3 linked regions of the Kluyveromyces lactis genome follow. The protein of the gene in region 1 interacts with the protein of each later gene in a pairwise test. Links are inferred from orthologs where the notes say so. Each region holds a gene or a part of one and is shown in the gene's direction. Other genes may lie near its edges.

Region 1 (3,103 bases):
GAAAGTTGGAATCTTTGACTTCTCTTGTTCAATCTTGAATTCATGATTACCTAATAGTTCCACAGAGCAAACTCTGAAATTAGTACCACCTAAATCAGCTGCCAACATGGTTACTCCATGTTCCTGACCGGATGGCTTGTCAGTCACAAACGTCGGAATCATAGGCAACCCTTTGTTTTGACTGATATCTGATTCACAGGGTTCTAATCCCTTTTCCATACAATCGATGAAATACTCAGTCAACTGAGATATCTTCGATTTAGTAACAATGAACTGATCGCATATAGAATCAACCGCCTTGGTTAACTTAGGATCTGACATTATGCTCTAGTTGTTATTCTTTTAGCTTGTCTTGTCGTGTCTTGTCTACTCTTTAACAAGAATCCTTGATCTTTTCTACAAAGTAAAAAGTATGAATTATCCTTTCTCAACTACAGTCACTCTCTTATATTATAAAGTAGAAGAAACTGCGCACCATCTCCAGTTGAAACTGTTTTTTTCACGGTTTTTAGAATATTTGAAAATTGTCACCTGTTAGTCACGGTCGCCGTTACCGTTACTCTTGGCTACTCGAACAAACAACGTTATTGACGCATAAGAAAATGCGGGGTCACGTTTTGGTTGACCTTATGGGCCGAATGTGTGTATTGGCTCAGAAGATCATGGTATATACGAACCAGTGAGTGCTCTGGGCTAGACCAGTTTATACATGTATATACGAACCTGTACTCGTTGTTGTGGATAGATACGCACCAGTGTCCTTAAAAGCCGTTTCGCGGCTTGCCTACCGATTGGGCAATCACCGGGAATTCACGTGTATCAATGCTGAAAGGCAGGTTGTTAATTAGGTGGGGTGGGAATGTAGAGTCCTGAAACTGATAAAAAGAATTCAAAGTACTACTATTTCAGCTTTGAATACGTCAGTCGAAACAATGTAGAGATAATACTATGTAGCACATTTGCAATTGTACTTTTAAGTTTCCTTTCGCGTTGAATGGATGGGAAGAAGGTGAGAAAATTGTAAGGCTCCTGAAGGTAGAGATTGTCGTTTCTACTTAAAGACTATCTCGATCGTCTAGCATGCCCGATAGTCCATTGTCAGAGCGTTACGTTGATGTTTGGCTGCTATTTCCACCGGTATGAAATGAACCATTAGCGTTTTGTTTGTAGGTCACGTGAAATGCTTCTGAAAACTCCAAAATGGTTTCCGTTTTCCTATTGCATGTTTTCTTTCTTTGAAATCTTTAGCCAAAGGTTGAATGTAGAAAATACTCGTCTGATCTAATCTAGTCCAGTCTGGGGTGATCCTACAACAGTACCTTGGCACACCGGCTATCCGATTTGAAACTGTTATATTTGTCATTGCAATATAATTATGTTCAGAATAGCGAAAAATCTTGTCAGAACTCTTGAAGAGTCTGTTACTGGAACGGTTGGGGACAAACCTATTGATTCATATTTTCATTCAGTACCACCACAATTGTTCCCGATAAGGGAAGATGACCCTAGATATGCTCATCAAACGGATTCTCTATATGGTTTAAGAGTGGTACAAGTTGACGAGTCGCAATTGCAATTAACTTCGTTCTTTGATTATATCATTGGTTTCAATAACCAACCGATCCCCTTGGTACAGGATGGTACCATGGGTGCATCACAGACGTTCTACCCAGATTATAAAAGGATTATATCATTCTTCAATGAGCATTGTGGCAACACTATCAAGTTACATGTATGGTCTGGTAAAGGGGGTGTTTACAGAGAGGAGTATCTTTACGTCTCGGCGAAAAACTCTGTGAGCGAGATCCCGTTGGATGAAACAGATGCGCAACAATCCCTAATGACTTCTAAGATGTTTGAAGCGTTAGGTTTCAAAGTGCAATGGACCCCATTAATCGCTGTTACGTATAGTTACCATGTTTTACAACTAAACATTGAAAACGGACCCGCTATGCAAGCAGGATTGATTCCAGATCAGGATTACATTATCGCATGCCAAGATGGATTGCTAGCAACTGGCGGTGAGCATCTGTTACAAGACATTGTCAGATCAAGAGCGAACCATTCTTTAGTACTATACGTATACAACAAAGCCGTGGATTGCGTAAGACCTGTGACGGTACACCTTGCTGCTGACGGAAGGCTTGGATGCAACGTTGGCTACGGTTTCTTGCACAGAATCCCGGCACCTATCCAAAATTCACAATCAATTATCCACTCTCCAGCAGCCGTTGAATCTCACAATTCAAACAACATCATCCACCCAATTACACAACCAACTTTAATTCCTGCGACGTTGGCTAATAATGCGGATAATAAAGAAACGATGCCTTCAAACCCACTTCAGGTACCAGTTCCGGTTGGAAGAAGACAAGCACAGCTTCACCGCGGTTCGAACACTACCAATGCTGCGGCTGCTTCAGCATCAATGGCTGACTACTTCCAAGAGGGAAAAGATCAATCACCAAGATCCTCATCAAAGGCAACCCCTCCTCCTCCACCTCCAGCTTCTTCTACTGCTAGTAATACGGCTTCAGACTGAATCAATATACAGAAGAAAAAAAAGAGTAACAGAAGCAGTAAGATCCTTAAGGGCTCTGCTATATCGATATATTAAAGTATAAAGTATACTTCAATTGTATATACCATCAAGTATAACAACCGCTCTCATCTAGTAACTTCTATGGTGCAGCGATCGGTAAATGTGCATACGTAATGTCAAAAGATCAACGATAATCTATGAAATTCAGAGTACTCGTTACCCGCATGTACATATCCTTCCCATAATACCACTCTGTCATTTTGGTGCTTTTTTCGAGTTTTCGTACTGTTGCCTCCAAGTACACGGCCACCTTAGGTAAAAGAAAAAAAAGGTATATATAAACTAGATTTGCCATGTAACTTCGATCTTCTCGTGTTAATAGTTAATTATGAGTAAAGATAAGTCTGTACTTTATCATTCATTCAGTTTTTGATCTTTCCGTCAAGTTAACAACTCCGTTGATAATCTTTCCTCTTTTACAACGCACGCAATTGGAATCGGGTGTTTTCAAGAACTAGTTTCGGTGTAGTCTGATAGTATAAGAGATCGATAGAATCGCAA
Region 2 (4,415 bases), on another chromosome or scaffold:
TCTTTTGCATTAGGATTCTGTTGTGCGATATTAATATCTCTTAGCTCCACGGTAGTCTTCTCACTTTTTAGAATATGAATCTTAACGGTGTTTCTTAACTCGTCATCCTTTAGGAGGGTATCCTTCGTGAATTCTTCCACGAATCGGAAAGTTCTTTGACCGACGCCGTTACGAACCATTTGTTCATTAGTGAAAGCTTGCATGATCCGTGCACCAGTTCTCAATTTCTTTATGGCCAAATCGAGACCGTTACCACCCTCCTTACGAATCTGTACAGCTGGTGCATCATATTTCAGAGGAGAATCTTTAGCGAGTAGTAGACATAGATGAATTGGCGGGTTCTGTAACAATGGTACGTATTGAATAGTTAATTGCGCCGTAGAATTGTCATTTCCAGTGAACCATAGTAAGTTTTCACCAGGAGTCAAAGAAATAATGCACTTGAATCCGTGGTTGTTAACGGGAAACGTTAAGGGAGGGAGCTGCGAATGATGCACTTGGACAGAATTGGCATTTGTATTTATATTTCCGTGGACAATAAGTGCGGGTGTATGAACCTCTTCTCCGTTCTTGATGTTGTAAAATTGGATTTGGGACATCACTTGATTTAATTAAGGGTATTCTATGGTGTACCAGTGGGAAAAAGAAGCAGATTTGAGTGTCAGTCACAGGTATTAGCTGAATTACCAGTGTAGAACCTTATGATATCGAATACTAGGAACAATGGATGGATTGCTCGTATTTAAAATCGTTTTACCTTCGAGACATCTTGTTTAAAGATCTGATCCAAAATCTACGCACATTGTAAATAAAATAAGCAGACCTCGAACTTTCATATCACGTGATATAGCAAGGTTTATATCTCTAAATATCCATCAACAAATAAAGCACTGCATAACCACAGGTAGGTTCGTTAAAGCCCGTACAGTGTCTGGAGGGAGTATCAGTGACCCACAATCTGCCCGAAAGTTTTATCTTCTACAATGACCACGTCGACATTAATTACTTAACTATGTGATTCTGAGAGAACACGAACTATGATGTTACCCGAATATTATTATTAAAATCTGACAGCTGTCAATATACAAATACGAACTGCAGCATACAATACACATATGTCAATGATCAAAGAAATACAATATATGTAGCTAACATCGACTGAGCAATTGGCTAATAAAGCAGCAACCATATACATACGCTGGAAAAAGCCTCTCAAACCGCGTCAGTTTATTTAGCAGTTATCTTGAAAGGAAACCAAATAAAAAAAAAATTTCAAAAATCCAAAAACCCAAATTTCGATTCTTCGACAATAACAAAACGGGCCGAAAATTATAAAAACAATACACACATTTGATATTCAATTGCCATCGATTGAGGCATCTACTCTTTTGGATCTTCAACTTGGTAGAGTCAATAACTGTGTCAGGATCTAGGCGACTTATCAGAAGTTTATAAAGGAGAAGGCTCTTTGCATTGTATTTTTTGCAGATAAAAGAGAAAGAGTTACAGACAATCGAGTGATACAGGAGATCAAATTATACTGAACCATGTCACACCATAAGAAGCGTGTTTATCCTCAGGCTCAGTACCAAATTGCAGAAGGGATTGCACAGCCAATTGTTGGTGGAGGTGTTCCTCCGCAAACTGTAGGTGCTGGACAGCCGCAATTTCTGACTCCTGCTCAACAACATTTGCATCAACAGATCGACCAAGCAAGTAACGGCATTGGTAATATGCAATTACACAACGTTCCTGTGGTTGATCCTACTGCATTCCAGCAAGCTGGAACCCCGGTGCAACAACCACCATACGGTGGGGCTCCTCAATATGGCCAGCCAATGAACAGTGGCTACGGCGCCGATAACATATCCGGTGTTCAGCAGCAGTATCAGCAGCCAATGCAACAGCCGTATGGGCAAACGTACGGACAACAGCAGCAGCAACCACAATATCAACAACCAGGAGTAGGAATGGCTGTGGGTAAACCAATGAATCAATTGTACCCAGTTGATTTGTTCCAAGAATTGCCTCCTCCAATCACTGACTTGTCTTTGCCTCCACCACCGTTGATGCTCCCTCCAGAGAAGATGATTGTTCCTAACGATACAGTTAACAATTGTTCTGACCATTTAAGGTGCACTTTGAACGCCGTTCCAAAAAACAATTCTTTACTGAAAAAATCGAAACTACCATTAGCTATGGTTATCAGACCATACACTAAGTTAACCGACTCTGAATGTCCAGTGCCAACTAGCGAAGACGGTGTTGTGGTTCGTTGTAGACGTTGTCGTGCCTACTTGAACCCCTTCGTACAAGTAATCGAGAATGGTTTACGTTGGAGATGTAACTTCTGTAACTTGGCGAACAACTTCCCTCAAGCAATTGATATGAATGGTAACCGTTACGAGAGACCCGAATTCAACCATTCTGTTGTGGATTTCGTTGCTCCTAAAGAATACGCTGTCAGACCACCACCACCATCCACTTACGCTTTCATTTTGGACGTTTCTCAGGCATCAATCAAGAATGGCTTGTTGGCTACTGCTGCAAGAACTCTCTTGGAAAGCTTGGATACCATTCCAAACCATGATGAGAGAACAAGAATCTCTATTATTTGTGTTGATCAATCTCTACATTACTTCCGTATTCCTTTGGACGAAGAAGGTGACAACATTAAGATGTACGACGTCGCTGACTTGGATGAACCATTCTTACCTTCTCCCACTGGCCTATTGGTTCCACTAATTGAGGCTAGAAGCAACATTGAAAAATTATTGACTAGCTTACCAGAAATTTTCCAACAAAATATTCAACCAAGATTTGCCTTGGCCTCTGCTCTAAAGTCTGCTTTGAACTTGATCAGAGCTCAGGGTGGTAAGATTATTGTTGTTGGTGCCACTTTGGCCAACGTCGGTGAAGGTACATTACATAAGAGAAATGAAAAGGCTGTTGCAAATACTTCCAAGGAAGCTTCCACTTTATTGAACACTGGTGACGCATTCTACAAATCTTTCCCTATCGAATGTAACAAATATCAAGTTACGGTGGATATGTTTATGGCTTCCGACGATTATGTCGATATCGCATCTATCTCTAACCTAGGCCGTTTCACTGGTGGCCAAACCCATTTCTACCCTGGTTTCAGTGCCTTAAACTTGATCGATGTTACAAAGTTCTCAAAAGAATTTTCAAAACACGTATCCATGGATCTATCTTTGGAAGCTGTTATGAGAGCTCGTGGTTCGTCAGGCTTGAAAATGACCGGATTTTACGGTCATTTCTTCAATAGATCTTCAGACTTGTGCGCTTTGGCTACGGTTCCAAGGGACCAATCATACGTTTTTGAAATTGGTATCGATGAACAATTAACAAAGGACTTTGTGTACATTCAAATTGCTTTATTATTGACATCCAATGCTGCCCAAAGAAGAATTAGAGTCATAACTATTGGTATTCCAACTACTGATAAGCTAACTGAAGTCTATGCTTCTGCAGATCAGTTGGCCATCACAGCATACTTCGCTCAAAAGGCTGTGGAAAGAGCTCCTTCTTCTGGCTTTGAAGACACTAGAGAATTTTTCAACAAATCTGTCCAAGAGGTTTTGGCTACATACAAGAAAGAAGTTTTGACTTCAAACACAGGTGGCGGAGCTCCATTAATGCTCTGTAGTAACCTAAGAATGTGGCCTCTATTGATGCATTCTCTAACTAAACATATGGCTTTCCGTTCTGGTATTGTTCCGGCTGATCACAGAGCTCAAGCATTAAATAATCTTGAAACGTTACCATTGCCATATTTGATTCAAAACATTTATCCAACAGTATACTCCTTACATGACATGCCTGACGAAGCTGGTCTTCCCGATGAAGAAACTGGTGAAATTGTACTACCGCAACCAATTAACTCCACCTCGTCTTTATTGGAAAGATACGGTCTGTATTTAATCGACACAGGATTGGACATGTTCTTATGGATTGGCGGTGATGCTGTCCCAGAGCTTGTTACAGACGTGTTTGGAACCCCGGACATTATGGAAATTCCAATTGGTAAAAATGAACTACCTCTATTAGACGCTACTGAGTTCAACCTAAGAGTGAGGAATGTTATTACAAAGATAAGAGAACACGATGATGTTATCTTCTACAAAACCTTGCACATTGTCAGAGGCGCCTCACCAAGTGAACCAATGAACCATCCTTCTGCCAGGGAAGTTGCTTCTCTAAGATTATGGACTGCATCTCAGTTGGTCGAAGATAAGGTCCAAAACAGCTGGAACTACAGAGAATTCTTACAAAACATGAAGACAAGAATCTCGAAGTAAGTTTAAAAGGTGCTTCCAAGTTGCGTACATACCATTTTTTATGTAGATATTGAAACCATGAAATAGCAAAATCTTACTTTGCACACAACCTTA
Region 3 (3,018 bases), on another chromosome or scaffold:
CACACAATGGCATCTTAACGATATGGAAATCTTCGTACAATTCATCAATTTGGTCCAAATACTTCTTTTGCATCTTCCATCTGGATTGGCACCTTTTACAGCTGTCTCCTTCGTCATACTCAGCAAATAATAACTGGTTTACAATGATGGAGTTCACGTCCATATCGTATGAGATCAATTCCTGTACCAATCTTTCAGTTTCGTACAAAGACAAGAACTCACTGATACAAACACAGACAAAAGTTGTCATATCAGGATTGGTGAATTGTTCCTTGATTTTTTCCACATTAGACTTCAATTCACTCATTTTACCAACAAGATCGACGTTATTGGCACCAGCCAAAGAATTCAACATTGGTCCCAATCTTGCAGTGATTTCTCCGAATTTCTCCAAGAGTTTAGATAGAGTGCTTGGTAACTGTAAAAACCTTAGAGTGTGACCTGTTGGTGCGGTATCAAAAATAACGGTATCATACCTGTCACCTTCACCCTGTTCTTGGTTTTTGATGTGTTTCATCACTTCCATGAAAGAAAGTGCCTCATCAATACCTGGAATCGATCCTGTCAATTCAGATAGTGCACCACCTTGCAAAAGATCACTGAACTCTCCCGATCCAGTTGCATTATTGGCAACAGCCATATCATTCATATCCTTCAAAGCGGCAGAAGGGTCAATCTCCATACATGACAAGTTGTTCATCCCAGTGACTTTTCTTGCATCTTTACCAAACTTCTCACCGAAGGCGTCGCTTAAATTGTGTGCAGGATCTGTAGAAATCAATAGATATTGTTTCTCTGGTTGTGCCAAAGCCATTTGAATGGCAATCGAACAAGATGACGTCGTCTTACCGACACCACCCTTACCACCGACAAATATCCATCTGTGTGTTGAGGAAGTTATCAAAGAGTTTAGATCTGGTTCAACTGTTAAATCCATTGTACTTTTCCGCTTTACTTGGTCTCAGGTTTACACACTTACTGATTGTTATTCCTACAGTTGAAATAAGAGGGCGTCTTAGTTGTAAAACTTCTGTTTATCTACGCATGTCGCCACTAAAAGTGACAACAAATGCTAAATATCTTGCTGAAGACTTCTTCTACGTTCTTTTAAAGAACACGTCACTATATACGGTGGTGATAATAATTTGATATTTACCAATCGCATACCGAATAATAAAGAACATGGTACAAATACTTTGAGTTTGCTTCTCAAAAAGTCTTGAATCTTGTTCTCTTTCGAACCTAAATGGCTTTGAAACATTGTGAAATTAAACGATATTATTTGATCGATGTTTGCCTCAATGATGGTGATTCCTTTCTTATTAAATATGTGTGAACCATAACGACACGTTTAGATCAAAAAAAAAAGTTGCCCCATATGAAATAAGAATTTACATGGTGAATGCCAAATCTGAAACAATTGCGAGCTAAATATTAAAACCAATTGGCGTCTTCAATGCAAGTGAGTACACACATTCGAACAGTTGATTATGTCTGAACTATCCCCCGAGGAAGAAAGAGCCAGAAAGCTCGAAGAAGCCAAGATAAGGGTTGAAGAGTTAAAGAAGAAGAATAAAAACAAGAAGAATAAGAAGAAGAAGGACAAGGAAGATCTTGAAGCAGCTGAAGTCAAAACTGAAACTGAAACTGAATTGGAACCGACTGATACTAATGTATCAGAGAGTCCGGTTCATTCAGATGAACAACCAATCGTGGAAGAGACAAAAGCTGAAGAAAAGGCTGAGATAAATGCTGATGCAAAGGGCAATGACAACAACGAAGAGAAGTTTGAAAAGGAGTCTGTGGAGAAGTCTGAAAAAGAGTCTGCGGAGAACAAGAAAGACTCCGAGGAGGAAGTCCTCGAGAAGGAAGCAACTGATATACCCAACCCAACCGAGGAAGTGTCTAAAGAAGCTTTTGCAGTTCAACAAAAAGAGGAAGAACCAATAGAGGCAAAAAGTACAGATGAAGTTGAAGAATTGTTTGGCGGGAATGATGATAAAGAGAAAGATTTCCTTTCGACGATACAAGAACAGAAAAGCCAAGATGAAGTAATAAACCTCAAGGAAGAAGTTTCAAAGCTAAAAGATCAAGTAAAGCAATTGAAGTTTGTCAACATAGATCAAGAAAGCTCCATAGAAGAGCTTGAAGAACAGATAAACATCATGAAATCTCAACTCAATGATAAAACTGTACAATTGCTGTCCGCTCAGCAGGAGCTATCTACGTCTAGACAAGAAGTAGAGCAGCTTAGAGCAACACAATCACCACAACTAACCCCTGTGGAATTCTCTTCCTTTGATAGACATTCTCCATCCAAATTCGAGCCATCGAGACAGATTCAGCATCCAACGACAGACCCTGTTATGTTAGCTAAGTGGAAGAACTGGAATGTCGATATGACAAATTGGAGATCAGTTGGTGTTGGCCCAGTTGTGGAATTTTAAGTAAGTTTCAGCCTTGTTACTATTACCACAGAGCTATGATTTTTTTATGATTTGTCTCATTTGTCTCGTTTAGGCAAATATAATGCTATAATGTACAAGTATACAATTATATTAGTGTATGTATAAAACTGATATTTGACACGATTGATGATTGTCGCTAAAAGGAAAATCGCACTGATTGAATGTTACTATATACATGGAATATGAGGTGGATTTCCTTTTGATGATATTGGAAGTTTCGATGGTCCATCACACATGTTGATGAAATATTCTGCACTTTGTTTTTGATTATATGACTAATGGTCTTTATTGCTGGGAATTTTACTGATGATTCACCTAATTCTGCATAGCACTTCACCACCGACTTTCTTGGCGATAGCATCATCGATATCCATAATTTCATTCCCAGATTTCACTAAAATTAATTCACCAGGAGCCAAAGGTTTGATCAATCTGACGGAGGTACCTGAACATAGTTTCTTCAAATCATGTGCATCTAGACTGATTCTCAAGTTTGGTTTTGATATCAATCTACAACTAGAAATAACTGGCTTGTTTTCCCTGTATTTTA

What was found.
Region 2: the proteins of GRH1 (region 1) and KLLA0_F03729g interact in binary tests that used the Saccharomyces cerevisiae proteins (3 or more experiments, as listed by UniProt). The link is inferred for Kluyveromyces lactis from reciprocal best matches to the Saccharomyces cerevisiae genes GRH1 and SEC24.
Region 3: the proteins of GRH1 (region 1) and BUG1 interact in binary tests that used the Saccharomyces cerevisiae proteins (3 or more experiments, as listed by UniProt). The link is inferred for Kluyveromyces lactis from reciprocal best matches to the Saccharomyces cerevisiae genes GRH1 and BUG1.

What each region holds. Positions count from the first base shown.
Region 1 is NC_006039.1:85,302-88,404, reverse strand, and holds GRH1 (Grh1p), read left to right. Parts: upstream 1-1,375; coding exon 1,376-2,542; downstream 2,543-3,103. Other genes in the region: KLLA0_C01155g (uncharacterized protein), read right to left, coding at 1-321. UniProt on the Saccharomyces cerevisiae protein: Involved in the spindle assembly checkpoint. Involved in ER to Golgi vesicle-mediated transport by either facilitating USO1-dependent and -independent tethering or increasing target accuracy of fusion events of COPII-coated vesicles.
Region 2 is NC_006042.1:351,623-356,037, reverse strand, and holds KLLA0_F03729g (uncharacterized protein), read left to right. Parts: upstream 1-1,547; coding exon 1,548-4,322; downstream 4,323-4,415. Other genes in the region: KLLA0_F03751g (putative metalloendopeptidase), read right to left, coding at 1-599. UniProt on the Saccharomyces cerevisiae protein: Component of the coat protein complex II (COPII) which promotes the formation of transport vesicles from the endoplasmic reticulum (ER).
Region 3 is NC_006041.1:142,686-145,703, reverse strand, and holds BUG1 (Bug1p), read left to right. Parts: upstream 1-1,490; coding exon 1,491-2,447; downstream 2,448-3,018. Other genes in the region: guanine nucleotide exchange factor GET3, read right to left, coding at 1-937; MRPS8 (mitochondrial 37S ribosomal protein uS8m), read right to left, coding at 2,780-3,018. UniProt on the Saccharomyces cerevisiae protein: Involved in ER to Golgi vesicle-mediated transport by either facilitating USO1-dependent and -independent tethering or increasing target accuracy of fusion events of COPII-coated vesicles.